Linked DNA regions of Caenorhabditis elegans. The protein of the gene in region 3 purifies or fractionates together with the protein of the main gene of each other region. This does not show direct contact. Each region holds a gene or a part of one and is shown on either strand. Other genes may lie near its edges.

What was found.
Region 1: the proteins of gpd-3 (region 3) and pgk-1 fractionate together in Caenorhabditis elegans (co-fractionation; one large-scale study listed by BioGRID). This does not show direct contact.
Region 2: the proteins of gpd-3 (region 3) and T25B9.9 fractionate together in Caenorhabditis elegans (co-fractionation; one large-scale study listed by BioGRID). This does not show direct contact.
Region 4: the proteins of gpd-3 (region 3) and enol-1 fractionate together in Caenorhabditis elegans (co-fractionation; one large-scale study listed by BioGRID). This does not show direct contact.

What each region holds. Positions count from the first base shown.
Region 1 is NC_003279.8:3,863,361-3,870,753, forward strand, and holds pgk-1 (putative phosphoglycerate kinase), read left to right. Parts: upstream 1-4,180; 5' UTR 4,181-4,191; coding exon 4,192-4,335; intron 4,336-4,390; coding exon 4,391-4,515; intron 4,516-4,561; coding exon 4,562-4,886; intron 4,887-4,937; coding exon 4,938-5,597; 3' UTR 5,598-5,749; downstream 5,750-7,393. Other genes in the region: hcp-4 (HoloCentric chromosome binding Protein), read right to left, coding at 1-97, 143-702, 755-1,740, 1,793-1,915, 1,965-2,171, 2,221-2,427, 2,533-2,577; coq-4 (Ubiquinone biosynthesis protein coq-4, mitochondrial), read left to right, coding at 5,861-6,156, 6,211-6,297, 6,342-6,494, 6,545-6,704.
Region 2 is NC_003282.8:10,766,656-10,774,776, forward strand, and holds the start of T25B9.9 (6-phosphogluconate dehydrogenase, decarboxylating), read left to right. Parts: upstream 1-2,997; 5' UTR 2,998-3,005; coding exon 3,006-3,335; intron 3,336-3,458; coding exon 3,459-3,528; intron 3,529-3,562; exon of another isoform or gene 3,563-3,657; coding exon of another isoform or gene 3,658-3,769; intron 3,770-4,131; coding exon of another isoform or gene 4,132-4,241; intron 4,242-4,288; coding exon of another isoform or gene 4,289-4,534; intron 4,535-4,580; coding exon of another isoform or gene 4,581-4,693; intron 4,694-4,755; coding exon of another isoform or gene 4,756-4,878; intron 4,879-4,926; coding exon of another isoform or gene 4,927-5,057; intron 5,058-5,105; coding exon of another isoform or gene 5,106-5,324; intron 5,325-5,372; coding exon of another isoform or gene 5,373-5,427; intron 5,428-5,491; coding exon of another isoform or gene 5,492-5,635; intron 5,636-5,705; coding exon of another isoform or gene 5,706-5,709; exon of another isoform or gene 5,710-6,092; intron 6,093-6,679; coding exon of another isoform or gene 6,680-6,725; exon of another isoform or gene 6,726-6,791; intron 6,792-7,055; coding exon of another isoform or gene 7,056-7,092; exon of another isoform or gene 7,093-7,256; intron 7,257-8,121. Other genes in the region: T25B9.8 (Lin-15A/B-like domain-containing protein), read right to left, coding at 59-271, 316-1,176, 1,278-1,433, 1,481-1,504; inpp-1 (Inositol polyphosphate-related phosphatase domain-containing protein), read right to left, coding at 3,658-3,769, 4,132-4,241, 4,289-4,534, 4,581-4,693, 4,756-4,878, 4,927-5,057, 5,106-5,324, 5,373-5,427 and 2 more. UniProt on the Caenorhabditis elegans protein: Catalyzes the oxidative decarboxylation of 6-phosphogluconate to ribulose 5-phosphate and CO(2), with concomitant reduction of NADP to NADPH.
Region 3 is NC_003284.9:3,109,464-3,116,392, reverse strand, and holds gpd-3 (Glyceraldehyde-3-phosphate dehydrogenase 3), read left to right. Parts: upstream 1-3,051; 5' UTR 3,052-3,071; coding exon 3,072-3,311; intron 3,312-3,360; coding exon 3,361-3,489; intron 3,490-3,536; coding exon 3,537-4,193; 3' UTR 4,194-4,302; downstream 4,303-6,929. Other genes in the region: mai-1 (ATPase inhibitor mai-1, mitochondrial), read left to right, coding at 828-1,037, 1,340-1,396; gpd-2 (Glyceraldehyde-3-phosphate dehydrogenase 2), read left to right, coding at 1,706-1,945, 1,995-2,123, 2,170-2,826; gpcp-1 (Putative glycerophosphocholine phosphodiesterase GPCPD1 homolog 1), read left to right, coding at 5,778-5,923, 5,965-6,090, 6,151-6,248, 6,294-6,451, 6,512-6,589, 6,705-6,773, 6,831-6,929.
Region 4 is NC_003280.10:8,927,742-8,936,128, forward strand, and holds enol-1 (Enolase), read left to right. Parts: upstream 1-3,261; coding exon 3,262-3,353; intron 3,354-4,364; coding exon 4,365-4,450; intron 4,451-4,606; coding exon 4,607-5,553; intron 5,554-5,598; coding exon 5,599-5,871; downstream 5,872-8,387. Other genes in the region: cct-2 (T-complex protein 1 subunit beta), read left to right, coding at 4-132, 178-295, 354-1,523, 1,570-1,742; mrpl-50 (Large ribosomal subunit protein mL50), read left to right, coding at 2,112-2,644, 2,698-2,896, 2,943-3,068; T21B10.3 (Edg1 TPR repeats region domain-containing protein), read left to right, coding at 6,667-6,699, 6,750-6,849, 6,897-7,181, 7,227-7,426, 7,736-7,848, 7,893-8,187, 8,238-8,387.

The DNA.
Region 1 (7,393 bases), on a different chromosome or scaffold from region 3:
CCTTTAGAATTCGGTTCAGGATACCATGTTTCGTCAACGAATGTGTCGTTTGGGCGTCTTCTCGACGAACTAGCAAGACCAAGAGCAATCGAATCACCTGAAATTGTTTTAAAAACGTTGTTATTTGTGAAGTAACACTCACTAAGAAGCCCGAGTCTTCTAGACGACTTTTTCCTTGGATCTGGACGTGCTTCCATTTCTTCTTCGTCAGAAGAAGATCTCATTTCATTTGTATCGTCCTCTGGAAAATCAATGGCACTGATATCATGTGCAGGCTCTTCGTTGACAGTCAGCGCATTCAATTCGATGTTCAGGGAGCGATTGCTTGAATCTGCTGCCTCATCCTCACCATCGACAATCACACCACCATTTTCAGATCTTTTTTCAATGACCTCCGTCGCCTGATCCTCCTCATCATCCTCCAAAACCATGCGAACAGCGGCTGAAGAAGTTGTAGCAGTAGTCTTCGCAGGCGTATTCTTTCGTGAAGTTTCCTCAAGCAAACGATTAGCATCTTTCATATTCATCCTTTTGACGAGTGAAGCGAAAGTAGGCTGTTCATATCGTCGTGCCGGGGTCACTCGATTCACAGAATCAACGATATCCATCCTAGTCGGTGTTGAGAGCAGTGCAGCCCGAGCACATTCGACATTGTTGGTGGGTCCAATATTACGGATAGAATTATCCGTGTGCCGAATCGATCTGGAAAATGGAGAAATAAGAATAATATTCCGCAATTCGAAAAAAAACATACTTTGGAGTTGCGGCTTTCGATACATGCATTGGCTCCACTTTTTCTGGAACTTCTGGAACCGGCGAAACTCGAGATGCATTGAATGTTGGAGAGATATAAGACGAGCCAATAGAATCCGCTTCCATTGTTCGTTCTTCAGCTACCGATTCCATCTCAATCGTTCGCTCCTTATTCGATTCAGTACTAAGTCTGCTGGTTGCCTTGATTCGTGGCGGCGTTTGAACCACCGGTCTGATCTTTTTTCGGGGATGTTTGAAGAAGTTGGCTCCCGGCGATTGAATTTCTTCCTTTTCGAGCATACTGTTGTGAAGAGGATTAGAAATACTGGCATTACGTCGTTCTCGCTCATCCGAAGTGACTTTCGACGTTCTCCGTTTTTCTCCTCCTTCCATCGTGTTTTGTGCCAGTACTGGAGGCTTCACACCAACACTCGTGGTTCCTTGCTCGTATGCATCTCTTTCTTCAATAATAAACGTCTTTTGAAGAGTTGAATCGTTATTTTCATCTCTGTTAGCTACGTTGAAAGTTCTTTGAAGTGATGACTCATCTTTCTCGGTCGGCTTTGTGAACGTTTTCTGTAGAGAGGAGTGTTCTGCATCTTTAGCCACTGTGACCGTTCCCTGCATTTCCGAGCTCTGATTCTTCTCGATCGTCACCGTTTTCTGAAGTTCTTCAGGAGCATCTTTAGCCACCGTGAAGTTTCCTTGCAGCTGAGAGCTTTGATTCTTCTCGATCGTTACCGTTCTTTGAAGCTGTGATTGCTCTTTTGATGCATCTTTAGCCACCGTAAACGTTCTTTGCATTTCCGAGCTCTGATTCTTCTCGATTGTCACCGTTTTCTGAAGTTCTTCAGGAGCATCTTCAGCCACAGTGAAGGTTTTTTGCAGCTGAGAGCTGTGATTCTTCTCAATCGTGAGAGTTTTCTGGAGTGTTGACTCTCTCTCCTCGAGAATGGTTGGGATAACGACAGACTTGGTGTGAACAGTCTGAAACGATATAAAAGTTAGTTTAAATATCTTTAAAACAAACAAATTTTACCACTCTTTCAGCATCTAGTCGATCGGTATTGACGACATGTGAAATATCAAGCGATCTCAAGGACCTCATCGACGTATCACTCGAGCTCTTGGGAGTTGAACAACTTAATCCAGCTTTTCCACTCTGAAATTATAGATTTATTAAACTATGAACACGCAAATTCATCTCATACCCCTCTGGAATTAGCAATTGGCGAGCCCATCATCGACTTTTCACTGATGTGTTTCGGAAGCGCCGGAATGGCAAAAACCGAAGCGCTTCGGACATTTTGATTCACAGTGTTCTCGCTGTCGCTCTCACATTCGGAGTATTCACGACAAGCAATCAACTCTTTGAAGGTTTTCGCTCCGTACATTTCCTTTTCGAGACGTTTTCTGGCCTGAATATAGTTTATTAGGTGTTGAAAAGATTTTGTGACTGAAATTTACATTGTTAAGCTGTGTTTGTTTCCTTTTCTCCAAAATAGCGAACATCTGCTTCTCAGATAGTCCCTGTTTTCTCCATTCTCGCTCCTCCAAATTTGCACTATCATTCATCATCGATTCATCGACGATAACTGTTGGTTCCTCCAAGTACGACGGTCTTGTATCGTCCAAGCCAGCCTCACGAAGAGCAACGATTTCAGTGATCATTTTCTGAAATAAACAAAATAAGTAAGCAATCAAATTACCATAATGTGGAACTTTTTTTTTGTAAAAATCAAACATTTGTTAAGAATTTTAAAAATCTGAATCACTTACTCGACCAGGAACAATCGTACTGCGGGTTCGCGGTTTTCGATTCATTCTGCAATTTGATATCGTTTTGAAAAAAAGACAATTTTAAGAGGTGAATAAATATAAGCAAACTTCTCGATGTCAAATGGGAGCTAAATTTGAAAGTGGCGGTTTTGCATTGTACAACGGAGCGCGTTTGGTTAGAGGGGGAAGGCTACGAGAAGAGGATAGAGGAAACGTATTTATTGTTTTCTTTTCGCATTCAAAAGGCAAGAAGGTATTATGAGCCAAATATTGATTGATTTTAAGGGAGAAAGACACAGACTTTGTATAAAATAATAGCCGAACCAAGTCAAACGCAGTTTTGAAGAGAGGCCAATCGATACGCTTTGGTGAAATAAAGAAAAATGAATAATACTTCATCGAGATCTATTTATGCTTGTTTTCACGAATTTCAACAAGGCCTCCACGTCCCTAACAGTAGAAAATACTAAACGCAGAATTTATTAGTAGTTTTCTAAATAAAATTCGTGCAATATTAGTTGAGCGGTAGCTCTTTAAAGTACATATTGATTTCAACCAAGTTCTTCGAAAGTTATTTCAAGCGCGTTTTCATTTTTTTTTCTAATGATCCGCAAGAAAATAAAATTTTAAAACGAAAAGAGAAAAATAGAATAAAATCAAAGCCTAAAAATCAGACTCTAAAAATGATTTTTCCCGCCTGTCGGTATCAAGTGTACGGTATTCGTGGTGAGACCCGCGCCCCCGCGCAAAAAATTTTGAACTTTTGCGGAGATGTTTGCACAGACAGCATTTAACTTAACGCAATTTTGCATGCTTTCTATACTTTCGAACATTTATTGAGACCCGAAGAACTCGGGGGATGTCCAATTGGGGGGATTACCAACTCGGGGGATTGGCCTCACCCACAGAACCGTGGTTTGCAATACGCCCATTTCTGCAAATGCCGCACGGTTTTAAAACTGTATTTTTCTCAATAGAGCGAGAATTAACAAGAAAAAATAATTTTAAAACCGTGCGGCAGTTGCAGAAATGGGCGTATTGCAAGCCACGGTTCTGTGGGCGGGACCAATCCCCTGGTAATCCCCCCAATTGGACATCCCCCGAGTTCTTCGGGTCTCCATTTATTTTTTGTTTTTGCCTTTTTGTCTTACAATTTTGAAGGTTTCCCTTCATCGATTTCATCCAAAATTGAGAAAAAATGTTTACAAAATGTATTATTTTCATTTCTTCCAATTTTCTAATTCAGATTTTCCCTAAAACATTTGTGATTCTTGATTTTTTACTTTTATCTATATGAGTGACGTTGTTTTGACAGCATATTTGATCAAATTTCTAGAAATGGTTTGTTTTATCACTACTGTTCATGCCTTCTTAATTTCAAATGATCTTCAAACATTTATATTTGTGTTTTCGGTTATTCTTCATGTGTTTTTTATTTGATTCGTTTCAACCCATCCAAATGCGCGGTCTCTCGCTCGATCTCTCGTCTCTCTGCGTTTCCAGTGTAAAAGAGAAAGGCGAGCAACAACTTCTATCATTTCTCACGTCGCTCGTCAAAATAGTTGTCTTGTTTGTTTCTCAATTTTAACATTCTCTCCTGTTTTGACCATCTTTGAAATTTTTGAAAATCAATATCAAACAATTTCAGCATTCAGAAAAATGAGCTCCCTCAACAAGTTGGCTATCGACCAGTTGAACCTCGCCGGAAAGCGAGTTTTGATCCGTGTTGACTTCAATGTCCCACTCAAGGATGGCAAAATCACCAACAATCAACGTATTGCTGCCGCTGTTCCAACCATTCAGGTAATCAATTCAAATTTATTTCAAACAACATTTTCAATAATATTCAAAATTTCAGCATGCTCTTAGCAACGGAGCCAAATCTGTCGTTTTAATGTCACATTTGGGACGTCCAGATGGCAGACGCCAAGACAAGTACACCTTGAAACCAGTTGCTGAAGAGTTGAAGGCTCTCTTGAAAAAGTTTGTTGTATAATCTGATTTTAAAAAAATTACAAATGATTTTCAGAGATGTTCTCTTCCTCGACGACTGTGTCGGATCAGAAGTGGAGGCTGCATGCGCCGATCCAGCTCCTGGATCAGTCATTCTCCTTGAAAATCTTCGTTATCATCTGGAAGAGGAGGGCAAAGGAGTCGATGCATCCGGTGCCAAGGTTAAGGCTGATTCAGCAGCCGTAAAGAAATTCCGCGAGTCTCTCACCAAGCTTGGCGATATTTATGTCAATGATGCTTTCGGAACCGCTCACAGAGCCCATAGCTCCATGGTTGGAGTCGAGCACTCACAACGTGCAAGTGGATTCTTGCTCAAGAACGAGCTCTCCTACTTTAGCAAGGTAATTTTTTCCTCCAATTTTTCATATTGAATTTTATTATTAAATTTTCAGGCCCTCGACAACCCAGCTCGTCCATTCCTGGCCATCCTTGGAGGAGCTAAGGTCGCTGACAAGATTCAGTTGATCAAGAACTTGTTAGACAAGGTTAATGAGATGATCATCGGCGGAGGAATGGCCTATACCTTCTTGAAAGTTGCCCAGGGAGTCAAGATCGGAAACTCTTTGTACGACGAAGAAGGAGCGAAAATTGTGAACGAGCTTCTTGAGGCTGCCAAGGCAAAGGGAGTTCAAATCCATCTCCCAGTGGATTTCGTCATTGCTGACAAGTTCGCCGAGGACGCAACCTCGAAGACCGTCACCGCCGAGGAAGGTGTTCCAGATGGCCACATGGGACTTGATGTTGGGCCGGAATCTTCTAAGATCTTCGCCGCTGCCATTCAACGCGCCAAAACGATTGTCTGGAACGGTCCAGCAGGAGTATTCGAGTTTGATAAATTCGCCACAGGCACCAAGTCATTGATGGATGAAGTTGTCAAGGCCACCGCTGCCGGAGCCATCACAATCATTGGAGGAGGTGACACTGCGACCGCCGCCAAGAAGTATAACACGGAAGATAAGGTGTCTCACGTCTCAACTGGAGGTGGAGCCAGTTTGGAATTGCTCGAAGGAAAAGTTCTGCCAGGAGTTGATGCTCTTTCGCCAGCTCAATAATTTTCTAATTTCTATTGTTTATTCCTTGCCCAATAGTGTATTTGTATTTATTCTTTCTCTCTCTAAAAACTTTCCCACATTAGTCTTGAATTGTTCCCAGTGATTTCACAATCTTCCATGTAACATGAAGTATAAATAAAGTGTATAACTATAGAATAAATTAAGAGTTCACTTAATCGTAGAGTTTTTTAATCGTAGAGTTCCGTATATCTACCAATACATTATAGTCATTTTCCAATTGAAAAAAAAAGAAAAGAAATCAGATGTCTGCTCAAAAGCTATACGCATCGCATGTTCCCTTGGCACCGCTGTCTCGGATGCTTCTCGGGATTGGATCAGCAGTAACAGCGATCTCGGATCCAAAAAGAGGAGATATGGTGGCAGCGATGGGCGAAACTACTGCAATTGGACCAGTTTTAGAAAATATTCGAAAAAGAATGGAATCTGATGTTGTTGGAAAGCGACTTCTTCTCGAAAAACCAAGAATTTCAAATGGAACAATTGATAGAAAGTGGCTAAGACAGTTACCGGATGGAACATTAGGAAAATTGTATTCAAAGTATGTGAAAGTATATTAAACAACAAAAAAAAATTGAAAAACTTCAATTTTCAGCTTTCTCGATCGTTTGAACACATCTCCAGATGCTCGGCCCACTGTCAAGTATATCGATAATTTGGAGCATCTTTATGTTATGCAAAGGTTTTAAAAATCGACGTAAATAACAAAAAAATTCAAAATTTCAGGTATCGCGAAACACACGACTTCACCCACATCGCATTGGAGCAGAAAACGAACATGCTCGGCGAGGTAACAGTCAAATATTTCGAAGGAATTCAATATGGGCTTCCAATGTGTGTCACTGGTGGAATATTTGGAGGTGCCAGGCTTTTAACAAAGTAAGCAGAAAGAGAGACGAAACCATGAAAATAAAATTTAAAAATTCTAGAAATCGCCAAGAACTTGTCGACCGGAACCTCCCTTGGGTTGTGGAGCAGGCCACGAATGCACGATTCTTCATGGCTTTCGACTGGGAAAATCACTTTGAAAAGCAGCTCAGCGAGGTGCAGAAGGAGCTAAATATAACGCCATTATCTGTGAATATGTGATATAGATTTGATCTTGAATTTCTCAGTGATAATGAAAAAATGAATTAATTAATTTTTTTGGACCGGACATTAAATTTGAAAAATTTGGACCATTTAACAGTTACGGTATTACGATAACACTTAAATTCTGAGAATGCGTATTGCACAAAATATTTGACGAGCAAAATACTATCAAAATTTATGAATCGATCCTTCGATTTTGCAAAAATCGAAGGATCGATTCATAAATTTTGATAGTATCCCGTAGCGAAAACTACAGTAATTCTTAAAACTACTACTGTATCGCTTGTGTCGATTTTCGAAATGGATTTAAATATCGATAGAATACTAGAATTAAGCAAATATTAAGAAAATAATACGAAGCAACGCATTTTTTAATTTCGAAAATATTTCTAAATCGATACAAGCGCTACAGTAGTCATTTAAAGAATTACTGTAGTTTTCGCTACGGGATACTTTGCGTGTCAAATATGCTGCGGAATACGCATTCTCAGAATTTTGTGTTTACCGTAATACCAAAACGTTCTGCGACTGGCAGTTTAGTCAATTTCTTTGGATTTTGATAATTGTGTGATTTGTGAGAAAGGATTTATTGTACATGAAACTGAAAAAATGGAAAGAAACCGGTAATAGAGGCAAACGGGCAAGTTTTGGATGAGGAACGACGGGGGAATTGTGGAAAAATAAGC
Region 2 (8,121 bases), on a different chromosome or scaffold from region 3:
CAGAATAGAGAAAGTTTGCGCCGCTAATGCTTACAATCCTTGCGGCCTTGCTACTCACATAATTTTTCCGCGCATACTTTTGGAAAAAGTTCTTCAATGTATTGCAGAAGGGCACAATATGCTTCCTGCTACCCTCGAATACTAGTTTCTGCACAAATCTTGAATCCTTGATGCCTTTTACTGCATGATAAGCTTGCACAATTTTCTCGTTATCCGTGTGAATATCAATATCTGGATCCACGACTCCCAAAAAATGAAGAGCGCTTTCATACTGAAATATAAGTTTTAGTGCACATTTTCAAATCAATGACTCACCAATTCATCTAAATGAGATACACAGCATTTAAATCTTTGCATTCGAGCCAACTCTTTTGCTTTGTCCATATCGTACTTATCATTCATAACACAAACGTAGATCATGATGTAGGCATCTGTATTATTGACTGAACGGACCTTGGTCATTTCCATTTGTTGATTACACACCAGACACGGCCATTTGACATATCCAGGAATATGTTCAAATGTTGTGAGTTGGATGGACGATTTCGAACGTTTTTGTGATGATTTTCCGTTGTCTATCGAGCCAATTAGTGACTTTTCCTCTTCCACTCTTGTTATTTTATACTTTTTCAGTAACAATTCGAATTCCGATTTGCAATTAGTCAATGAAGTAGAAGGTCCCGTTCCAAAACTGTCAGAAGTTACAGGGTTATTCATAATTTGACTCTCGCTGGTTGAATTTCCTGCATTTGAATTCTCCTGCATTTGAAGATCCTCTAATGAAGGTTTTGTTTCAATGGGGGCATCATCGTAATCTGATATTGGTTCTAATTTGATATCTTGTGAGTTCACATTTGGACTCGATTGTGCCATATCATTCGAATTTTCACTGTTCGCGTCAAATTCATTATCCATAGATGACTCCTCTTCCATTTCGTTTGGGAAAACCGACTGTTCATCAGATCGTCTTTCCCTGCCTACCGAAGTTTGACTCAATTGGAAACAATTTGAAAGGCTATTCGGCATGTATTCGTTGTTTGATTCTCGACATTCAAGAATATCAGTTTGCATCCATTGACGAACCATTTCGTGACGTTGTTTTTCTAAATTTTCGTATTCATCGGGGTTCATAAGCTCCCATCGTTTGAATGTATCGTATTTGTCGACATTCACTTTCTATAAAACTTTTAGATGAATATGTGTGGATATTTCTCTATTTTTATAGTATAACTTTAAAATAGTAAGTATTTGAAAAGCTCATTTTTGAAATTACTTACAATTAAGTCTGATGTTGTAGGCAAAACAATATCCGGTCTGATGAGCTCGAACATTGCTCGAAATTTTGGATGATTTACGATAGAAAATTCAATGTTTGTACTTCTCAGAAAATCAATCATCAACACGTTGAGCATTTTCTTCTGATAAGCTTGTTTCTGAAATTTGGATTTTTTATAAATACCTAGGAAACTCTAAAACTGACCTCTTCATTGCTGATGTTCTCCATTTAGTTTTATTATTTAGGTAAATTAATTGCATAAAAAAATAAAGTTGACAATCAATATGGTAAGAAACTCGCTCAACGCAGGGTCAGCAGCGACGCAGACAACGAGACAAAGGCAGTGTAGGCAGCGAAACGACGGCAGAGATGTGTTTTGTGAGAATATAGGAGAATGAGGACGTAAGGAGAAAAAAAATCGTTGAGTGAACGATGAACGCTCTTATTAAATTAAAAAAAAAGAAACTAAAAATTAATGTAGAGAATTCAGTTCGAATTACCGCCGTAGCCCAATAGAGCGAGTTTGCGGACCTCTCAAGAAAAAGTTTTTACCTTAAAAGATTAGTGTGTCAATTTCAATTTTAAGTTTTCCCGTGTTTCTTTGGATCTTATTCCTGCTTGCGCATGTTTACATAAATTAAATGTACTCTGATTCCCGTTTTACAATGCAATTTGTTCTCTGAACCTCCAATTTTCTCATCATATTCGACGCTTTCAATCCTGAGCGAAAACAAAACACCTCGAGAAGATCGAATTGTCATCGTTTCTTGTAAAATTTTGAAAAAAGGTGACAAAACCTCCGGCATTTTTTGTTTGCGTCGTAGCCTAAAAGTAACAAGAGTGCAGGGGAGAAAAAAAAGTAATTCAATGCCAAACACCACTTTGTTTTTTGTTCATTCGTCGGCATTCGTCGGCACTCGTTCTAAAAGAACAGAAACTTATTTTCTCCTATCATTGCGTTCAATTTTTGAATTCAGGAAATACTTGAATCCTTATCCTTGAAATATTTTGAAATTTTTCTTTTCGAAAACCTATTGAGGTCAATTTTCTAGAAAGATAACATCTCACAGAACTCCGAGTGTGGTCTACAAGATAGTCACAAATTTCCCCCAATCTCTTATTCACTGCAGAAATCTGTCTCCGTCTCTTTGCTTATCTGGTTTCCTCGTTTTTCTTTTTTCTGTGCACTTTCCGTCAACCAGTTCAGTTTTTCTAACTGTACCCAATTATTGTTATAATAATAATTACACGGCCTATAAACAAAACAAATCGCCTCCACTAGTCAATATATAAATAAGCGATGGAAGTTGAGTGGAGTAGGCCACAAAATAATGATGATGACATTGATTGTTTGTCCAAAAATGAAGTAAAGAGCGGGAGGCGCCTCCTCACAAAAAACTAATCAAAGTCGTCTCTCACGTTTTTACAACTTTCCCCGAATTATCCAAAAACGTTCACATCAAATTTATAAATTCTGAGTAATGAAAAAATCCTTTCTGGCATCACTTTTTTCGAAACATTATCATCATTGTTTCATTGATGTTTCCCGAAATTGAACCATTTTGATCAAAATTTCACACATGAGAATTGTTTTCTGAAATAAATTGGTCATTTACGCCATAAGAGACTTTTAAAAATCAATTTTGTAACCGCAATCTATATTTTTCTTCTCTCCGTCACTCTTAAAATCCTTTTTTTTAATTTTCAATGGCTTTTTCCAGAAATTAAAATGGCCGAAGCTGATATTGCCGTCATCGGATTGGCCGTTATGGGTCAAAATCTTATTCTGAACATGAATGATCACGGATTCACTGTTTGCGCCTTCAACAGAACTGTCAAATTGGTCGACGATTTTCTTGCCAATGAAGCTAAAGGAACTAAGATTATTGGAGCTCATTCAATTGAGGAAATGTGCAAGAAATTGAAAAGACCACGTCGTGTCATGATGCTCATTAAAGCCGGAACTCCTGTCGATATGATGATCGATGCAATTGTTCCGCATCTTGAGGAAGGTGATATTATCATTGATGGAGGAAATTCTGAATACACTGATTCAAACGTAAGTTTTTGTTTTTTTCTAAATATTTATTTATTTTATTCATTAGACTTTTCTCTCTAAAAATAAAATAAATATGTAATATAGTGAATCGATTGTGAACTGACAAACAACAATTATTTTCAGAGACGCTCCGAGCAACTCGCCGCAAAGGGGATCATGTTCGTCGGCTGTGGAGTTTCCGGAGGAGAAGAAGGTATGAATTTGTATTTTGAATTGTTTGCAAAGAGTTGAGGTATACGGTAATTTATTTAAAAATACAATAACAGGGATTTAATGACCAGATTAAACCAAATGTTTGGAAATATGCTTTTTTAGATTAATATTAGTTCACTGGTCCACTTGCATCCACCGAGTTGGTTTTCATTGATATTTCTCTTTCCAGCGACTTTTGTTGCTTGTAATGTTCAGGAACCGGCTTATTGATCACAGTTAGCCTAGAAAAATGATTAACCAGTAAATAGTGAACAATTAAAAGTAAGGTTAATTGGAAAAATGATTAAAAACCATTCCTATGATGCTAAAATGACCAAATATCAAAATAAAACTCTTCGCTAAATTAACATGAATATTTAAAACATAATTATAACATAAAACCAAAATAAATTTTTTGGTACACTACTTCCAAAAAAATTGGTGAAAACTGAGTTCGCACCGCTTTTTGACTCGAAATACAAAAATTTTACAAAATTTTTTGAATATATTTAATATTATTTTTGGTAATTTAAATACAATATTAATGGTTTTTAATCATTTTCCAATTAACCATACTCTATTGCTAGGTTTAAAAAAAGCTAACCAAAAAGTGGCAAAAACTGCCTTATGATCCGACGGTGTTGTTCCTCTCATACAATCGTACTGAATGTTTTGGAGCCATTCCGAGTTTCTTACCCAAAAGAGAACGCGGTCCTAAAATATTGAAGTCTTAGCAATGTTTGTAATCAGAAATTACTCACAGTAAAAGACGGAATCCTTTTTGGCACATAATTGTCTGTGTCTGGCTCGAATTTATGTGTTGGAGGGAATTTAATTGGAGCTTCCTTGAAATCTGTGAATGCTAATTGCTTTTTCCTATGACTGGCAAGCTCTTCTGTTTCAAAAACATCTCTAAATGTTTTCTCTGTAATCTTTTCCGGATCTCTCCAGTCTACATTGCTCTCTACAGTAACCCGGAAATTCAAATCTCCAATCCAAAGCACCACCTGAAAATGATTTATGGAGGAAGTGTCGCCCTTCAGAGGCGCTTACGTCAGAACCAAAAATTTCGTCTTTTGCATGTGCATGAAATCTGGCAAGCTGAGGAAAACGAAGAGTGCGGACCACTTTAGCGTAGTCTTGGATACGTTGTTGTGGTGTTGCATCTGTAAGAATATAACATTTTTGTGTTCTCATCATTAGTCTAACAATGTAAGGGACCACTCACGTGATAAATGACATCCGATAAGCACTATAAATCGCTGATATAAACGAAGACATACCGCGATTGCACCTTTCGTTCGAACTGGTTTTGCCATTGCACCAGATGCGATAAATGATACTTGTGGTTCTAGAAATTTTAAACTATTAGATTCTAGATTATAAGATCTGAACTCACGGATTGCATATCGAAGATGTTTCTGTCGAATGAAGACTATTACCATTTGACTCCAGGCTCTATGTGAAAGGTACAGACGATGACCATTGAGAACTGGCTCAAGAATTCGTAATGCTTCTTCATGAAAAGTTCTGAAACTGATTTTAGTTAATCGAAAATTAATAGTTTTCGGAACTAACGGTGCTGTGGAAGGTATTTCTTGCAATGAGATGAAAAATATATCACTATCCATTTCTTGTCCTCGTTCTGCTATTTTCTGAGCGAGATGGCTCAATATTTTCACACCTTTTTCGTTAATGTTCCATGTCACGGTACATACTTTCAGTTTTCTATCACCCATAGCTTCAATAACGTCGTAACTGACAATTGGAACATTCCCAAATCCTTTTACAGCAGGGCTAAATATCATATGTTCAATGAATGATGAAAAAAAAGTAATCACTTACGCAGTATTTTGCGTTTCAATGCAGTATGTCCAATTGCCGTCACTGATCTCGTTGACTGAAATGAAGTGTAATGGGTGTCAGAACAATAGGATTAAGTCGGGGAAGGATTAGAGGCTTACATGAGGCGCTGTTACGCCACGTGGCAGGTTGAGAGGAAGAACGGAGCCATGGAGGGTGTCGAGTAGGAGTTTGATGTGATTGCTTCTCACTTGAAGAATCTCCTGATTTTGGATCACCTCCAGATGCAGAGGGAGTGTTGGCATCTAAAAGAAATTGATACGTCCAAATAAATGTAGAATACTAGATTTCAACTCAAATGTTTCTCAGTCTTACCCATTTACTGTATGAATTAAATAACTTGGCTTATTGCTTCGTTTCAACCAACTAAGCTTCGAAATGCATATTGAAAATAGAGAACATAAATCCAATAGCGACGGACTCTATCAGAGGCTTCAAGTATAGGAACGGGAGGGAAGAGCGCGCACTTTTGTATGTCAGAAAGCCCGCGTTTTTCGTGTGCAATTCGCTCGTTTTTGTCCGATGATAAAATGACGAACAAGTATAACGGACGACTCTGGTGTTGGTGGTGCTATATAATGTTATGTAGATTTCGGTGTGCAAAGGGAAATGGGCAAGTGCAGAGATGAATGGGGACAGGAGAAAAGTTTGGAGACGCAGGACGAACGAGTGAGACGGGCGTGAGAGAAGAAGTATTTGAATGGGTGCCCATGGAAAAGCATTCAGAAGGCGAAGCAACAGGAAAACTTGTGTTGCTAGGTTTCCGATTACATGCCAAGTGGAAATTTTAGAAAAGAGTCTGGGTCGCCACTGGAGAAAAGAGTCTGGGTCGCCATATGCTTCCTTATTTTTTAAGAAAACCAAGAGAAATGAAAAGAAACGACAAAATTAAACACATGAATCTAGATCTTCTCGAGCTATAATTATTCTCCCTCACTAGAAATAAAAATAAAATACAATTAGAAGAACTTGAAAACTCGTTGTAATATGATAATTCCAAGTATCTTTCTTTGTTTCTTCTGCTTTTTCGAGTTTTTTCAATGATAAAATTTGCTAAATTTTGCCTACTTTTCCAGCAACGGTAATTATGTTATCTTTTGGCGAATGTTATTTGAAAATAGTGTTATGAGAAAATATGAAATACATATGACTTCCAGACTTCAATCAAAAATAAGAATTCTTGTGTATATACGAAAGTATTTTTGAAACTTCTCGAAAATTTCACACTTGCTATTTTATTTTTGATAATATTAGGTTTAGCAGAACATGTAATCAGAACACAGACTTACCAGCACTACTAGAATATGATCCGGACCATGGAAATACTCGAAACATCACTTTTTATATGAAATCATTTGCAATACACCTGCTGCGAGATTTAAGACTAACAAAAAATATGAGTGCTTTGTCTTTCCTGTCTGAGGGCGTAGAATGAAATCAGGAAATTTGGTCGCGAAATAGTCTGTGAGAAGTAGAGAATCTGACAACGAGGAGGAGTTTTGAGATACCTATACATGCAAGTGTATGATTGAAAAAGAGAAGAGCTCTAATTGAATGCGCATTGAGATGTGACATATATTTTGAGGAGAGATGAATTTATGAATAAATTTCCAAAAGGAATATAAATTTGAAGAAATTACTTATATATTTATTTACATCACTCACCAAAAGTATAACTTCGGAGAAATAACCTTCGCATCATCTTGTATGAATTGAGAAGCTAATTAGTAGGTATTTGTAGGTATTCACTAGTGAGAGCTGACAAGAGATGAATCTCTTCTTGCTTAATAGCACTCTCCGTGCTTACAGCCTTTATCGACCAAAGCGTTAGATGTTTTATCGTCGTTGTCGTTGTGAATCCCGAGAGAAAGACATCTGGAGAAATGGGCGAAAAAATGAAGAAAAAAATCAGTGAGAGAAAGGGCACGGGAAATTGGAAACAAGGGACTGAAACCCTTGACATCCAAGAAAAAATGGATCGAAAGTCGTTTGGGTGGATGGCAGGGGAGAATGACAAGAGGAAGCATTTAACGGATTAAAGATGGAATTGAAATTGTCATGCATTTCGGGTGTAGACATTTATGTTTTAATCTTTGTCATGACTGCTTGCCGAACATTTAAGAAAGACCACAGTTCGATTTTAATCCTAATAAATGTCGTATCTTAGCTAATTTGGATTAAAAGCTTTAAATTTTGTTTAGTCTCCAAAGTTTAGTCACAAAGTTATGTACTTGGACTACCAGATGGTGTTGTGCCAAAAAAAGAAACAAAACTTCTCTTTTCTTCCAAAAAAAACTGCCAATTTTCTACAACCACCCCTCCATTTCCAATAAAAGAAAAAGAAGACATAGAGAGCCAATTCCCCATCCTATGTCGGCTTCTCGCTGATACGTATGTTGATTAGAAACACAAGGAAATTGAAAGAAATGCGGTAACGGATATGTTCATAATTGTTAGTCTGGTAAATATGTGTGAAACGAGATATCTGATACATAAAACTAATAGCGGTTTCTCAAGAGAGAATATAAAATGTAAAAGATAATAAATACAAAAATAGTCAGAAGAATATTTTATATGCATTTGGTAAGCGCTACAATCGTATAGTAAAAACAACACGGAAGTTGGTGTATTAGAACATCTTGAATAGTTTTTTTCTAATTAGAAAGCAATGCGATATAACAGTTTTAGACCCGTTCAAAAAATGTTCCGAACATGATATCAGTCTTAGCTG
Region 3 (6,929 bases):
ATTCGTGCCGGCTGGCTAGGCCGTCGTCGCACTCGCAGTTGGCCCATTTTCTCTCTATGCATCAGTTGAGGCTACCCGCCTCGCTCCCTTCACTCTCTATGTTCGCCTCGCCACGGCGGCTCCCCTAAAAAAACAGCGACCCTGCCCTGCCTTCTAAGGAAACAACACAACAGAGTTTGACTTCAAGGAGCTCACCGGAAACCAATGTTGCTCTTGCTCACAAAGACTTTTGAGGTTAGTAAATATTTTATTTCGTTCTTCTTTTTCTCGAAGGTCAAATGTTGTAAATGTTTCAAAGTCTTCAATTGTTTATGATATCAATTCACGGGCGGCTCGAAACTCTCTTCTCGACCCTTTCTCTAAATCCTCTGCAACACACGCACTATTTTCTACTAGATCAGAGTTTACTGACACACACACACGTTTTGTGCGTTCAGTTCACGAGAGTGCGGTGTGTGTGTGTGTTTGTGAGTTAATGTTTGTGCGTGTATATTGATGTGTGTGTAAAAAAAACAAAATCGATTGCCGTTTGGAAATGGGCGGCCCAGTGTCCTCGGTCTCCGGCCATCGAAACGCCACTCGCATTGTGAAATTTGTTTTGGGAGGGCCTGTTTGCATCACCTTCGCCCTTCGCTCTCACTCAAGATTACTTTACGTGCTACAAACTTGTGTGTGTGTGTTAGCTGCTTTTCTTCTTTTTCTTCTCAGAAATAAAAAAGGCATGCTCCCTTCGACGTCTTCTTGACAGCTTTCTTCTTTCGCTTCTCTTTACTTTTGGAGCCATGCTCATATAATCCAGTTAGTTCATTTCCAGGAAATCAAAACAGATGTCAGGATCTGGAAGTGGAAGTGGTGCTGGACATGGTGGAGGCTCCGGCGGCTCAATCCGTGAAGCAGGTGGATCACTCGGCATGATGGGCGCCACCAGAGAAGAAGAATACTTCCGAAGACAACAAAAAGATCAGTTGGACAATCTCAAGAAGAAGCTTGAAGCAGATATGACGCAAAGCCAACAGGAAATTCGGGATCATGAAAAGGTACGAGACACTCCATTTAAGGAAAACACGCAGGAAAATATTGTTGTTGATTAACTCGTTATTCTTTGATGTGTCACATGACACTGCCGAAACTCTTATCTGCGAAAGTGGCGTGTTCTAGAACTGATTCAAAATAGACCGGGGACTCCTTTCGAATCTCTCTATTTTACACAGTTGACCTTGATATGTTAGAGAGACGGGCGACTAGCGAGCATAATGAAGAGATAGATTGGTTTTCACAAACAATCTCTTTTTTTTTGTTTTCCACTACCTTTCAACGTTCTTCAATACTTTCATTTCAGGTTCTCGAACAACATCAGCAACGACTGAAGGAAATCGAGAAAGGACACGGAACATAAAAAATAGAGGGCTTTTCAAACGGCTCTCTGTTCTTTTTGCATCATCATTTTCAATTTTCCCTTTCTTTTTATGCATACTTATTCTCTCCTCTCTATTTTCTCTCTCACACCGCATTTCTTCATCTTGCCTATTGCATCATTTTTTTTTCGCTTACTGCACATGTTTCGTCAAATAGTAAACATGGTTTTTATGGCTTCACTTCATATTCTTCTCTCTTCAATTTGATTCGATTTTCATTTCGATCATTCTATTTTTATTTGTCGTTTGTATGTTAGTTGAACTGATTGTAGTAGTATCAATTTTCAGCCATGCCAAAGCCAAGTGTCGGAATCAACGGATTCGGAAGAATCGGACGTCTTGTCCTCCGCGCCGCTGTCGAGAAGGACAGTGTCAACGTTGTTGCCGTCAACGATCCATTCATCTCCATCGACTACATGGTCTACTTGTTCCAGTACGACTCCACCCACGGACGCTTCAAGGGAACCGTTGCTCACGAGGGAGACTACCTTCTTGTCGCCAAGGAAGGGAAGTCGCAGCACAAGATCAAGGTAGAATATTTTCCAAACATATTTTGTTAAACATTCTCTTAAATTTCAGGTCTACAACTCAAGAGACCCAGCTGAAATCCAATGGGGAGCCTCTGGAGCCGACTATGTCGTTGAGTCCACCGGAGTCTTCACCACCATCGAGAAGGCCAACGCTCACTTGAAGGGAGGAGCCAAGAAGGTAACTTGTAATCAACTTTTGTGCATAAATATATTTAAATTTTTAGGTCATCATCTCTGCTCCATCTGCTGATGCTCCAATGTTCGTCGTCGGAGTCAACCACGAGAAGTACGATCATGCCAACGACCACATCATCTCCAATGCTTCCTGCACCACTAACTGCCTTGCTCCACTTGCCAAGGTCATCAATGACAACTTCGGAATTATTGAGGGACTTATGACCACTGTCCACGCCGTCACCGCCACCCAAAAGACTGTTGACGGACCATCAGGAAAGCTCTGGAGAGACGGACGTGGAGCTGGACAGAACATCATCCCAGCCTCTACTGGAGCCGCTAAGGCTGTTGGAAAGGTTATCCCAGAGCTCAATGGAAAGCTCACCGGAATGGCTTTCCGTGTCCCAACCCCAGATGTGTCTGTTGTTGATCTCACTGCTCGTCTTGAGAAGCCAGCTTCCCTCGATGACATCAAGAAAGTTATCAAGGCTGCCGCTGACGGACCAATGAAGGGAATTCTCGCTTACACTGAGGATCAAGTTGTCTCCACCGACTTTGTCTCCGATACCAACTCTTCCATCTTCGATGCCGGAGCATCCATCTCACTCAACCCACACTTCGTCAAGCTCGTCTCGTGGTACGATAACGAGTTCGGATACTCCAACAGAGTTGTTGATCTCATCTCGTACATCGCCACCAAGGCCTAAGCTGTCTCATCCTACTTTCACCTAGTTAACTGCTTGTCTTAAAATCTATGCTTCTCTTTAGTATCTAAAATTTTCCTAGAAGCTTACAAGTATATAAATGGTCTCTTCTCAATAAAGGTTGTATATTTATTCATCTTATTGAATCTGCCATTTCCTCGTTTTTGCGAGTTTATATACCTTCCAATTTTCTTTCTATTGTATTTTCAACTTCTAATTTTAATTCAGGGAAACTGCTTCAACGCATCATGACCAAGCCAAGTGTCGGAATCAACGGATTCGGAAGAATCGGACGTCTTGTCCTCCGCGCCGCTGTCGAGAAGGACAGTGTCAATGTTGTTGCCGTCAACGATCCATTCATCTCCATCGACTACATGGTCTACTTGTTCCAGTACGATTCCACTCACGGACGCTTCAAGGGAACCGTTGCCCACGAGGGAGACTACCTTCTTGTCGCCAAGGAAGGAAAGTCCCAGCACAAGATCAAGGTAGAATTATTTCCAATTAGATTTCACCTAATATTCTATTCAATTTCAGGTCTACAACTCAAGAGACCCAGCTGAGATCCAATGGGGAGCCTCTGGAGCCGACTATGTCGTTGAGTCCACCGGAGTCTTCACCACCATCGAGAAGGCCAATGCTCACTTGAAGGGAGGAGCCAAGAAGGTAAATTAGTGATTTAATTTTTCAAGATAAATATATTTAAATTTCAGGTCATCATCTCTGCTCCATCTGCTGATGCTCCAATGTTCGTCGTCGGAGTCAACCACGAGAAGTACGATCATGCCAACGACCACATCATCTCCAATGCTTCCTGCACCACTAACTGCCTTGCTCCACTTGCCAAGGTCATCAATGACAACTTCGGAATTATTGAGGGACTTATGACCACTGTCCACGCCGTCACCGCCACCCAAAAGACTGTTGACGGACCATCAGGAAAGCTCTGGAGAGACGGACGTGGAGCTGGACAAAACATCATCCCAGCCTCTACTGGAGCCGCTAAGGCTGTCGGCAAGGTTATCCCAGAGCTCAATGGAAAGCTCACCGGAATGGCTTTCCGTGTCCCAACCCCAGATGTCTCTGTTGTTGATCTCACTGCTCGTCTTGAGAAGCCAGCTTCCCTCGATGACATTAAGAAGGTTATCAAGGCTGCCGCTGACGGACCAATGAAGGGAATTCTCGCTTACACCGAGGATCAAGTTGTCTCCACTGACTTTGTCTCCGATACCAACTCTTCCATCTTCGATGCCGGAGCATCCATCTCACTCAACCCACACTTTGTCAAGCTCGTCTCATGGTACGATAACGAGTTCGGATACTCCAACAGAGTCGTCGACCTTATCTCCTACATTGCTACCAAGGCCTAAGCCGCTTCAAATTCTCTAAGTCTGAAATGAATCTGTAACATAATAAATTCCACATTATTGTAACTTTGATTCTCATTTTCTTTATAAGAATAAATCTTTTAGCTGGAGTAACTAAAACTGTGTTGTTGGATAGAAAGCATTTTTCAATGGCTATATCAAATTTGAAACGTTGAATTCGAACCTTTCACGAGGTTTACACTCATTTATATTCTTCGTTGTGATTGTCCGTCATACAAACCCGATTAAGTTTCCGTCTAGCCTCTATGTTTACATTAAATTGAGAAGCGATGAGAAGTGTCCAGTGTAGAGTGCAATGTGCACTCAAAATGTCGGCACATTGTCACTTTGCTAACATTTTTCCCAGAGTCATTTGGGATACTTGTGTAGTCCCAAAAAATATTAACTATTAAGCTTAGGATTAGTGCTTTTCTAAGCCTGAATAGAAAACTTATTGGAAACAATTTTTGGTCACTTATGTAGTAGATGTATCACAATATATTTTCATAGGATAACTTTTTGTAATGGTAAACTCGTGAGAAATAATTATTTGTAGACCTAAAAATTCCAGATTTAATTTTAAAAATTTAATAATATTTTGGGGTACTTCTACTTTTCATCTACCTTTCCATATTTGATATTTCATTCGCAATTATACAATCTCAGAAAATTCCTATGGTCACGTTATTCTTTGTCGTAGACAGTTGAAAGATGAAGGAAAAAACGAGAATAGATATCACAAAGTCACGTGGCAAAATCCATCAACCTGTTGTTAGTGACGTTATTTTTTGCCTCAAAATGCGGGAAACGATGTACGCATGACTCTGACGAAGTCTGCCTGCTTCTACGGGTACACTTGAAATGAAGCATAGAAAGCTGGCTGCGTTTTTTTCTTGTTTCGCTTCACGCCGTTTTTCTTTTTCTCTTTATTCTCTTTATATTCTCTTTTGTGCGGGTGCGTTTCCAATTCCCCGGAGCCCATCTTCTTTTTTCCTCACTATTTCTTTTTCTTCTTCCATTTTGCCCTTCTCATCGATTCAGAAAAATTACTGGCTCGTGACAGAAAAGAAGAACCAAAAAAAAAAAGCATTTGGGGGCTCGGAACAAAATGAAGCAAATCCTCCCAAGTAAATGTAGTTTGCCGAAATAACGTGAAATTGAAATTCGATATTTTATAATAGCACTCTTTTTTTTTCTGCCACAAACGACACTAACTTCATTTTGTTTTTTTTTGTCGATCTGACACTGGCCAACAATAAACTACCAATGTTCGTTGTTTTTCATGTACCCAATCTTAAGTTCTAGTTGAAGAAGAAAAAAGAAAAAATAATCATTCAACTTTTTTTCCTTTTTGCATTAGCACCAGCATTTGCTCCTTTTTCTTCTTTGTCCCTACCCAGACTATCAGTCCCATAATGACATTATCGTTTTTGCGATAAGAAAATTGAATCGTTATCGATGCGCACCTTGGTGGGGAAGTAGGCCACTTTTTCTACCCACTTAGTTTTAATAATTCGCAATTTTGTTTCTTTTCTAATTTTGAAATTCAATAATTTAATCTTTCGAAATTTCAGATTACTGGTTTATATGGACCAAGACTACAAAGCACATTTCAAAGTTTTCTGCTCAGAAGTCAGAGAATGGGAAAAAATCCATGTCGTTGGAAGTTTGCCCGTCCTTGGCGAGTGGAATCCCAGAAAATCATTTCCATTAACAAAATCGACTGACGAAGAGTAAGATTTATTACATTAATTCCAGTTATTTTCTGTTTTAGAAACACTTTCCATGCAATTGTCAGTGTTCCCTCATCTATCAAAGAGTTCAACTTTCGATACATTCGAGTTATGTACCTGGATCCATCTGAAAATAACACTTCTGAGCCTATTATGGTTTTGTCAAAGTGAGTTTCTGGTTTTTTTTCACAAATCTATTGAAAATAATTAACAAAAAATTCGTTTAGATGGGAAACTTTTAACAATGCCAGAACTTGTTTGATAGGTGTGGAAAGTCAAGATGGAGTTGCTCGAAAAAATATCACAGATCAATTTGGAAGTTATAGTGAGTGTTGAAACTGTAAAACTACAAAATAATAGGTCAATTTAGGCGGAAAAACTCAAATAACCGATGGATGGATTTTGAATGAAAAAGAAAGTGTAGTGTATTTTCGTATTCATGGAGAAGCGCTCAAATTTTTTGCCAAAAGCTATGCGAACAAGGAATATCGTCTGAAAGTTGAACCATTTGATGTCAGGTACAGCGAGGTTAGTTAGATTTTATTTGAAATGAAAAAATAGACGTAGGTTTCCAAATTGAAGTTGCAGATGTTCTCTTACACGCGTAAGGACATAACAGACCGGCGTGGAGTTTGGAGGCATTCTTCTGTTTATGCCTCCATGTCTGTATGTATATTAGATGTTGTAATTGTGTTTTGTGGTATATAGTGTTTAAAAAAATTTTTAAATGGAAGACACTTACTTATTAATTTTAAAATTTACAATACCTTCAAAAATTTAGATTGATGGTGACGATGTGGTTAACTTGCCAACTCCAAGTCTTCCCTGCTTTTCCAACACCGATCTTTCCGTAAGAGCTTTAAATTTTGAATTTTTTAAATTGTTTTTTGATTCTGTTGTTTTCCAGGTGCTGACAAGAGAAGACCCAATTTTCGGAGACCAATATTTCAATGGATCAGTTTTTAGAAATGACCAAGATTACCTTGTGTTTAGAACAAGAACTGTT
Region 4 (8,387 bases), on a different chromosome or scaffold from region 3:
AAGATGCTTCCAGTCCAAATTTTAAAGGACAATGCTCAAGAGGAACGAGGAGAGAGCGCTCGTCTCAGCTCATTCGTGGGTGCAATCGCCATCGGAGATCTTGTCAAGTCTACTCTTGGACCAAAGGGAATGGTAAGAGCGTTTTGATTGTTAATCAAAATTAAATATTAATTTTAGGACAAAATTCTCATCAGTGGAAACCCAGAAAGCGCAGGAGGAATCAAAGTTACCAACGATGGAGCAACGATCCTGAAGTCAATCGGTGTTGACAATCCAGCTGCTAAGGTTCTTGTTGGTAAGTGCTCATTCACTGAATTTTGTTTTTACTTTTACAAACGTTTTGCATCTTTCAGATATGTCAATGACACAGGATCACGAAGTTGGAGATGGTACTACTTCAGTAACTGTCCTGGCCGCAGAGCTCCTCAAAGAAGCCGAGAAACTTGTCAATCAACGTATTCATCCACAGACGATCATTTCTGGATATAGACGTGCTCTCGGGATTGCTCAAGAATCCTTGAAAAAGTCCAGCATTGAATCCGGAGATAATATTCGTGATGATCTTTTGAAGATTGCCCGTACTACTCTTGGATCTAAGATTCTCAGTCAACACAAAGAGCACTTTGCTCAACTCGCCGTTGATGCAGTTTTGAGACTCAAGGGATCTGGAAATTTGGATGCCATTCAAATTATCAAGAAGCTCGGAGGATCCATGAATGAATCTTATCTCGACGAGGGTTTCCTTCTCGAAAAACTCCCTGGAATGTTCCAACCAAGAAGAGTTGAGAAAGCAAAGATTCTCATTGCCAACACACCAATGGACACTGACAAAGTGAAAGTTTTCGGATCAAGAGTGAGAGTAGATGGTGTTGCCAAGGTTGCTGAACTCGAAGCTGCTGAGAAATTGAAGATGAAAGAAAAAGTTGACAAAATTCTGGCCCATAACTGTAATGTCTTCATCAACCGTCAGTTGATCTACAACTACCCAGAGCAACTTTTTGCCGATGCTAAGGTTATGGCTATTGAACACGCCGATTTTGAAGGAATCGAGAGGCTTGCTCTTGTTCTCGGAGGAGAAATTGTTTCCACATTTGATTCACCACAAACTGCTCAATTCGGATCTTGTGATCTGATTGAAGAGATTATGATTGGAGAAGATAGACTTCTTCGGTTCTCGGGAGTCAAATTGGGTGAAGCTTGCTCAGTCGTTCTTCGTGGAGCAACTCAGCAGATTCTTGATGAGTCCGAAAGATCCCTCCATGATGCCCTTTGTGTTCTCGTTACTCACGTGAAAGAATCAAAGACTGTTGCCGGAGCTGGAGCGAGCGAAATTTTGATGAGTTCAGCCATCGCCGTCGAAGCTCAAAAGGTTGCGGGTAAGGAAGCCCTTGCCGTTGAAGCCTTCGGAAGAGCCCTTGCTCAATTGCCAACCATCATTTGCGACAATGCTGGACTTGACTCGGCTGAACTTGTCACAAGACTCCGTGCAGAGCACGCCAATGGACGTCACAATATGGGAATCGGTTTGTTCATTTGGAAATCTAACCATTATACAAAATTATCTTTCAGACATCGAGAAAGGAGAGGTTGCTGATGTTACGAAATTGGGCGTTATTGAGTCTTACAATGTGAAGTTGTGCATGGTTTCTTCCGCCGCTGAAGCCACGGAACAAATTCTTCGCGTCGACGATATCATCAAGGCAGCTCCACGTGCCCGTGCTCAAGATAACCGACCATGCTAATCAAATTGTTCGCCAGACTGTTAAAAGATCTTCAACTTTATTCTCCCTTTTTCAGCTTTTAATCGAGTGCTTCAACACAATCGTATCTCGTTTTTTTTCGTCCCCTTCATTCTTATTTTTGATGGAATTTGATACACTTTCTGTTGCTTCTGCCTACCGTTTTTATATGCCCCCGTTTTCAATTTAATATTCGAGAATACCGCGTGTTTTTGCTTGTTGATTTGTTTTCCTTTTAAAATGAATGGAGTGCGATTTACAAAAGGTACAATATTTGAAATGTATTTTATTCCAGTTTTTATCTGATTTTTTATATTTCTGATTAAAGAGAAAAGAAAAAGCTTAAAAGAAAAAATTTAGAACTGCCAAAAGATGCACAGGAGTTTTCCGAGGCTTGTCCGATCGCAAGGTAACTTGTTGAAAGGAATGTTTGGAAAATCCGGGGAAAAGGAAGCAGTAAAGCAGCTGACACTGGAAGAACAGGAGAGCCTTCGCAAGACGCTTCCCAGCATCCGTGCTAGAGAATCCACACAAGTTACTGCTTCAGCTGATTCTGTCACTGAATTTGACGATGATCTGTTGACGATGAGCCGTATCGACACGGATGCCATCCGGGCCAGAGGTTTTCTCAAATACACGCAAAACTATGTTCCCGGCGTTGATGTCAAAAACCAAGTACTTGAAGCAGCGTCATCATGTCTAAGAAGTGCTGGAGTAAAGTCTGAAAACGTGGATCAGTACAAATTTGTGGAAGGAGATAACTCTGTAAAGTTCGAGTTGTTGAACAGGCTGGGAAAATCCATCGAACATTGGCCAACCAATGGAAAACTTCTTCATTTGGAAACAGTGGCAGACGTCGTCGAATTTTATCAGACGCCTGTCAAAAATGTAACAAAATATACAGAGTTAGTTTTTGTTTAAAGATGCTTATTGAATTATTAATTAAAATAAATTATAGAATGGCTCGCGATGAGAACAAACCGAAAAACGTCTCGATTATGGAGCATGCTGCACGTTTCCATCCTGAAGACACTCACATGTATCATGGTGGAATCACTGCATTCCCAGGATCAGGTGGTGAAGTTCTCTCTCTGAGACAGAAACGTCTACTTCGACAGTTCCAACCGAAAAAAGAATGGTTCGATTATGATGATCAGGTAATTTTTAAAGTTTCAGTGCTGACTTAAAATCGGCATTTTTCAGACATTTGATTACACTCGTCCTGACAAGAATATGCCATGGGATCCAGAAGTTGCTAATCAAATGGACAAATACACTGATAAACGATACAACCTAAAAACAAAGCAATTCACTAGGATTCGACAATAAAAAATAATTTGGTTCATTTTTGTATTAGAGTTTCATATTTAGTATTTTTAGACCTATTTTCTTTTTGTTTGATCTATCGATTTTTATTGTTGTAAATAAAATTGACGTTGAAAAAAATATTTTTGACCTCTTCACGTTTTGATCTTCCTCTAAAGTTTTGCTCTACGCAAGTTATTTCAGTTTTTGATTTAAAATGTTTGTTCCATTCACCTCGGCAGCTCACTCGCTCACTTCGCTCATTCGAGGTGGCGGGCAGCCTTCGAAAAGCAATCTGTCTGGACAAAGGTTTTGGTTATCTCTTTTTCTTTATTTTCCGCCAGTTGATTTCATGCTCCCGCGACTTCCACACGCAATCTGCAAAATTTTGGCTGCTGAATCAGGGTAATGGGGTCTGCCGTGCCTTTTTTCCAAAACGTTGACTGATGTTTACTTTTCTTTTATGTTTCATTTTGACTTGTTCAATGGTTTTGAACAATAGTGTGTGCAAACTAACGTTTTTCTTTAAATTCAACACGCAAGCTTTGAGGTGTTTTAGTTAGAAAGAAAATAGTTGTGTTTCTCTTCAAAAATAAGTTTTTTCCGAAATGTTTTGCAAATTTTCCGAATCAACAATTTCTTCTCATATCAGACCTTATCACTTCTTCTCACTTCTAAAACTGACCACTGAACATAAAAAACATTTGGTAACTCGCTTCTCAAATCCAATCTGAAGTGCATGCTTTGCCAATCTGAAACTTCGTGTAAGTCACGTATTTAGGCGAAAGGCAGCCGCTCAAGTCGTCGCTTCTCCCCAGCGGCAGTTGCTGGCGTCCTTGGCCCCTCACTTGTTTTCGAGCCCAAGGCATTGGCTCCTCTTTTCTTCTCGGCATGACGAATTTAATCATAATTCTCAATATCTAGAAGTGTTCAAGAACTTAGTGAATCTGCAATGCCTTTTTTTTGTAACTTCAGTTCGAATCTTAACTGCGTCTCTTTGAGATCTACAAACGAATTTTATTCACTGCCACGAAAAAGAGGCTGTCCGTGCGATTCTATTGAACGTGCGCTCTCGGGCCGCTCACAAACACATCTAACCAGCTGCATTTTCTCTGAGTCTCGTGTCCTCCGTGCGACCTTCGTCACTCTTTCCACTTTCTGCGCCGTCTATTGACGGCGCCGCCTTTTTCTTCTCGCACTCCTTTACCCCTTCTCGCCTCAAACATTTTATCTTTTCAGTTGTTTTGTTTACTAGTGCCCGTTTCTCACGTAGTTTTATATACTTGTTTGATTATTGAAAACATATAGTTCATTTTGCAGGATGCCAATCACCAAGATCCACGCTCGCCAAATCTACGACTCCCGCGGAAACCCAACTGTTGAGGTTGATCTTTTCACTGAGAAAGGTAAGCGAGCATTGTATAAATTCTATCAAAACTTGAAAAACCAATCTAGATTTGAATAAAATAAGATTAATCTTGTTTTATTCAAATCTGAAATTTCATGAAGTATATTTCAACATTATGACGCAATTCCGAAATCACATCATTTCTTGTTTCCAGGAGTCTTCCGTGCCGCAGTTCCATCTGGAGCTTCTACTGGAGTTCATGAGGCCCTCGAGCTTCGTGACGGTGACAAGGCTGTTCACCTCGGAAAGGGGGTTCTCAAGGCCGTCTCGAACATCAACGAGAAGATCGCTCCAGCTCTGATCGCCAAGGGATTCGATGTCACTGCACAGAAGGACATTGACGACTTCATGATGGCTTTGGATGGATCGGAAAACAAGGGAAACCTCGGAGCTAACGCCATTCTCGGAGTTTCACTTGCTGTCGCCAAGGCTGGAGCCGTACACAAGGGACTCCCACTCTACAAGTACATCGCCGAGCTTGCAGGAACTGGAAAGGTTGTGCTCCCTGTTCCAGCCTTCAACGTCATCAATGGTGGATCTCACGCTGGAAACAAGCTCGCTATGCAAGAATTCATGATTCTTCCAGTTGGAGCTTCCAGCTTCGCTGAAGCCATGCGCATGGGATCAGAAGTCTACCACCACTTGAAGGCTGAAATTAAGAAGAGATATGGACTCGATGCCACCGCTGTTGGAGATGAAGGAGGTTTCGCTCCAAATATTCAAGACAACAAGGAAGGACTTGACCTTCTCAACACTGCCATCGACAAGGCTGGATACACTGGAAAGATTTCCATTGGAATGGATGTCGCAGCATCGGAATTCTTCAAGGACGGAAAGTACGATTTGGATTTCAAAAACCCAGCTTCAGACTCCTCCAAGTGGCTCTCTGGAGAGCAACTGACCGAGCTCTACCAATCTTTCATCAAGGAGTATCCAGTTGTCTCTATTGAGGATGCTTTCGATCAGGATGATTGGGATAACTGGGGCAAATTCCACGGTGCCACTTCCATTCAGCTTGTCGGAGACGATTTGACTGTAACCAATCCAAAGAGAATTCAAACTGCCATCGACAAGAAGTCATGTAACTGCCTCCTTCTCAAGGTTGGTTATTTTCTTATTCTGCTTCATACATAAGTTTCTTTTCAGGTTAATCAAATCGGATCCGTCACAGAGTCAATCGAAGCAGCCAAGCTCTCCCGTGCCAATGGATGGGGAGTTATGGTCTCTCACAGATCCGGAGAGACTGAAGACACTTTTATCGCTGATCTCGTTGTTGGACTTGCCACTGGACAAATCAAGACTGGTGCTCCATGCCGTTCTGAGCGTTTGGCCAAGTACAACCAGCTTCTCCGCATCGAAGAGGAACTCGGAGCTGATGCTGTTTACGCTGGACACAACTTCAGAAACCCACAAGTGTAGATCACTCAATCTAACCTATAAATACTGTGTATTTTCGTACTTTCTTCTCAAAATTGCCCTCCCTTTTTATGTAGTCACCTTTTTACCCTATTTTAGTGCTTGACCAGTTTAAAGTTGATTCCATTGTAGATTATTTATTGTACTTGTAATATGAAGATTGGACATGAAAATTTTAACGAAAACAAACATCTGGTTATTTAATTCGGTTTTTGTTTTTTTCTAACTACGGTATCTGTTAAAGGAGCACGCGTTAATTTGGCTCAGGGTCCCGCGACGAAAACTACCATCGCGCGAACGCGTACGCGCCAAAAGTTCTGAAATACATTTTCATCATTTCTTTTGTCACACATTTCGTGCCATGTCATTTACGAAGTGGGTCTGATTTCAAACCAACTGAAAATTCGAGAATTATCGCTCATTTTTATGTCTTATGTTTCGAAAATATAATCAATGCATTTCATTGATTTGTTTTCGTTTCGTTTCGTCGGCATTTTTCAGTTCTCCTGTTCTGCTAAATAGCTATCCTTCATTGTTCCTCGAACTAAATAAGTGGTTACAAATTAACTGTATTTTGCAAACAAATTATAATTTGACTGTTGTGCCTCATTTTAAAGAACAGAATAATTCGGCGCAATTTGTTCATTTTGCAGTTACTTATGCTCTCAGCACGCACTTGTTTTTCTCTCCGCTCTCTTCGTCTCTTAATCGATTTTATCTTTTCTGATTTGTTTGAAACTTTATATTCTCAAATTAAATTCCTGATTTTCAGAAAATTCTCATGCTCGTAACAGCAAAATGAATAATCCAGAAGAAAGCGCTGTAACAGATGTACGTTCATTTATTTTTTCCATTAGTTGTGCAATAATTCGTATTTTCAGCTCCGAAAGTTCACCAATTTGGTTCTAAATGGACTTGTTGACGAAGAAGCAACAGCTGCAGCTCTTATTCGGTATCAATTCCAGCAGCGCACGATCAAAGGTTATTAAAGACGCACAGAACAGCCTCAATTAAATTTACGATTACAGATGTTGTTCGGCGCGGTTCCGAGGATCCCGAATTGAAAGCACAGATATGTGATTTGCTCAATCACCTCGTTATCTACCTGAATGAGGAGATTGTGGAAACTTCTTCCAAAGCGTGTCCGGATGGAATGGACGATCGACATTTCGTGCAACTCGAAAAACGGATGCACTTGATGTTCGAGGTATACTTGGCAATGAATGTCGTTCCCGATTATCTGATTCCTGATCTCACAAAACACGTTGATGCAAGCCGTGAAGCTGTTAAGTATTCATATAGCCTCTGCAAAGGTACGTTTCGATAATTGTTAAAATATTTTATTGTTTTTTTTGCAGACTATTACCGCTGGAAAGAACTGCCATTAACTCTCAAAGAATTTTTTCTTGATGAGAAAGAGGAGGTGAAGGCTGTTGTCGATGAACCAGAACCGACAATGTTTGCACGCGACGACGGGGTAGTATCATCATTGGCTCATGAGAAGGCACAATCAGACGAGGATGGGAAGAAGAAACAGTTCGTGGCAAAGACCGAGAAGGTAGTAGAGCCCCTTAAAAAGAAAAAGAAGCAGAAAAAGAAGAATAAACAGCGCCAGTGAAAAATCCCATTTATTCTTGTACCATGGCGAGTTTCGTGTCTTAAAATTTTATATCTCACAAAATCTGAACCTGTGCAAATGTTTGTTAAATTTATCCCGCAAAAATTCGTATTGTGATTCTATTCGTTTTTGTCTTGTGATGATCATCATTTGATTCAGTATTTAGTCTAGAAAATAAAAATTTCAGCTTTCTCTGTGTCTGGTATCAAATGCATTTTATACAAGTTACTTAGACTGGTAAATTTCCAGGTTCTCAACAATTATCGCGCCAAGAATCCTGACTACAGAACGATGCGCGAGTTGATTAATGCGAAAACAAAGTTCCGTCTCGAGGGAATATACTGCGACAGTTTAATCGATGAGTAGGTGTTCTTATACACTATTTCTGTAAACACCTGATTTTCAGTTTCATATCAGTTTGGGATATGGCTATTGACATTGAACCAGTGAAGACAGAAGACAAGTTTGCATTCACTAGTCTCCTTAAGAAAGTCTTTCTCATGATGGTCGATAAAAGGAGAAATGATTTTGCTAGCAAGATTTTAGATAAATACAATAATGATGCTTCGGGTGTACTGCCTTGTCTCGATAACTTTGTAGAAAACTTTCAAACTGGACTTACGGCCGCCATAAATAACCTTCCGCTTGATGCTAACGTATTGAGCAACAATATGGAATTGTTCGAAAAAGCAAAAGATCCAGTAAGACAGTATTTTTGAAGTTTTCAGTAACCGAAATCTCGGATTTTCAGATAATATGGTATCTGCTCATTTCACCAGCCTACACAGTTCAACAGATCCTGCTGATTTGCGTTGATAACAAAGGTTACGTTCCTCTCGTATCTCGGATTTTTCGTGCCATACCAACATTGTTTGAACGATCTGTCAACCTCACACCGATG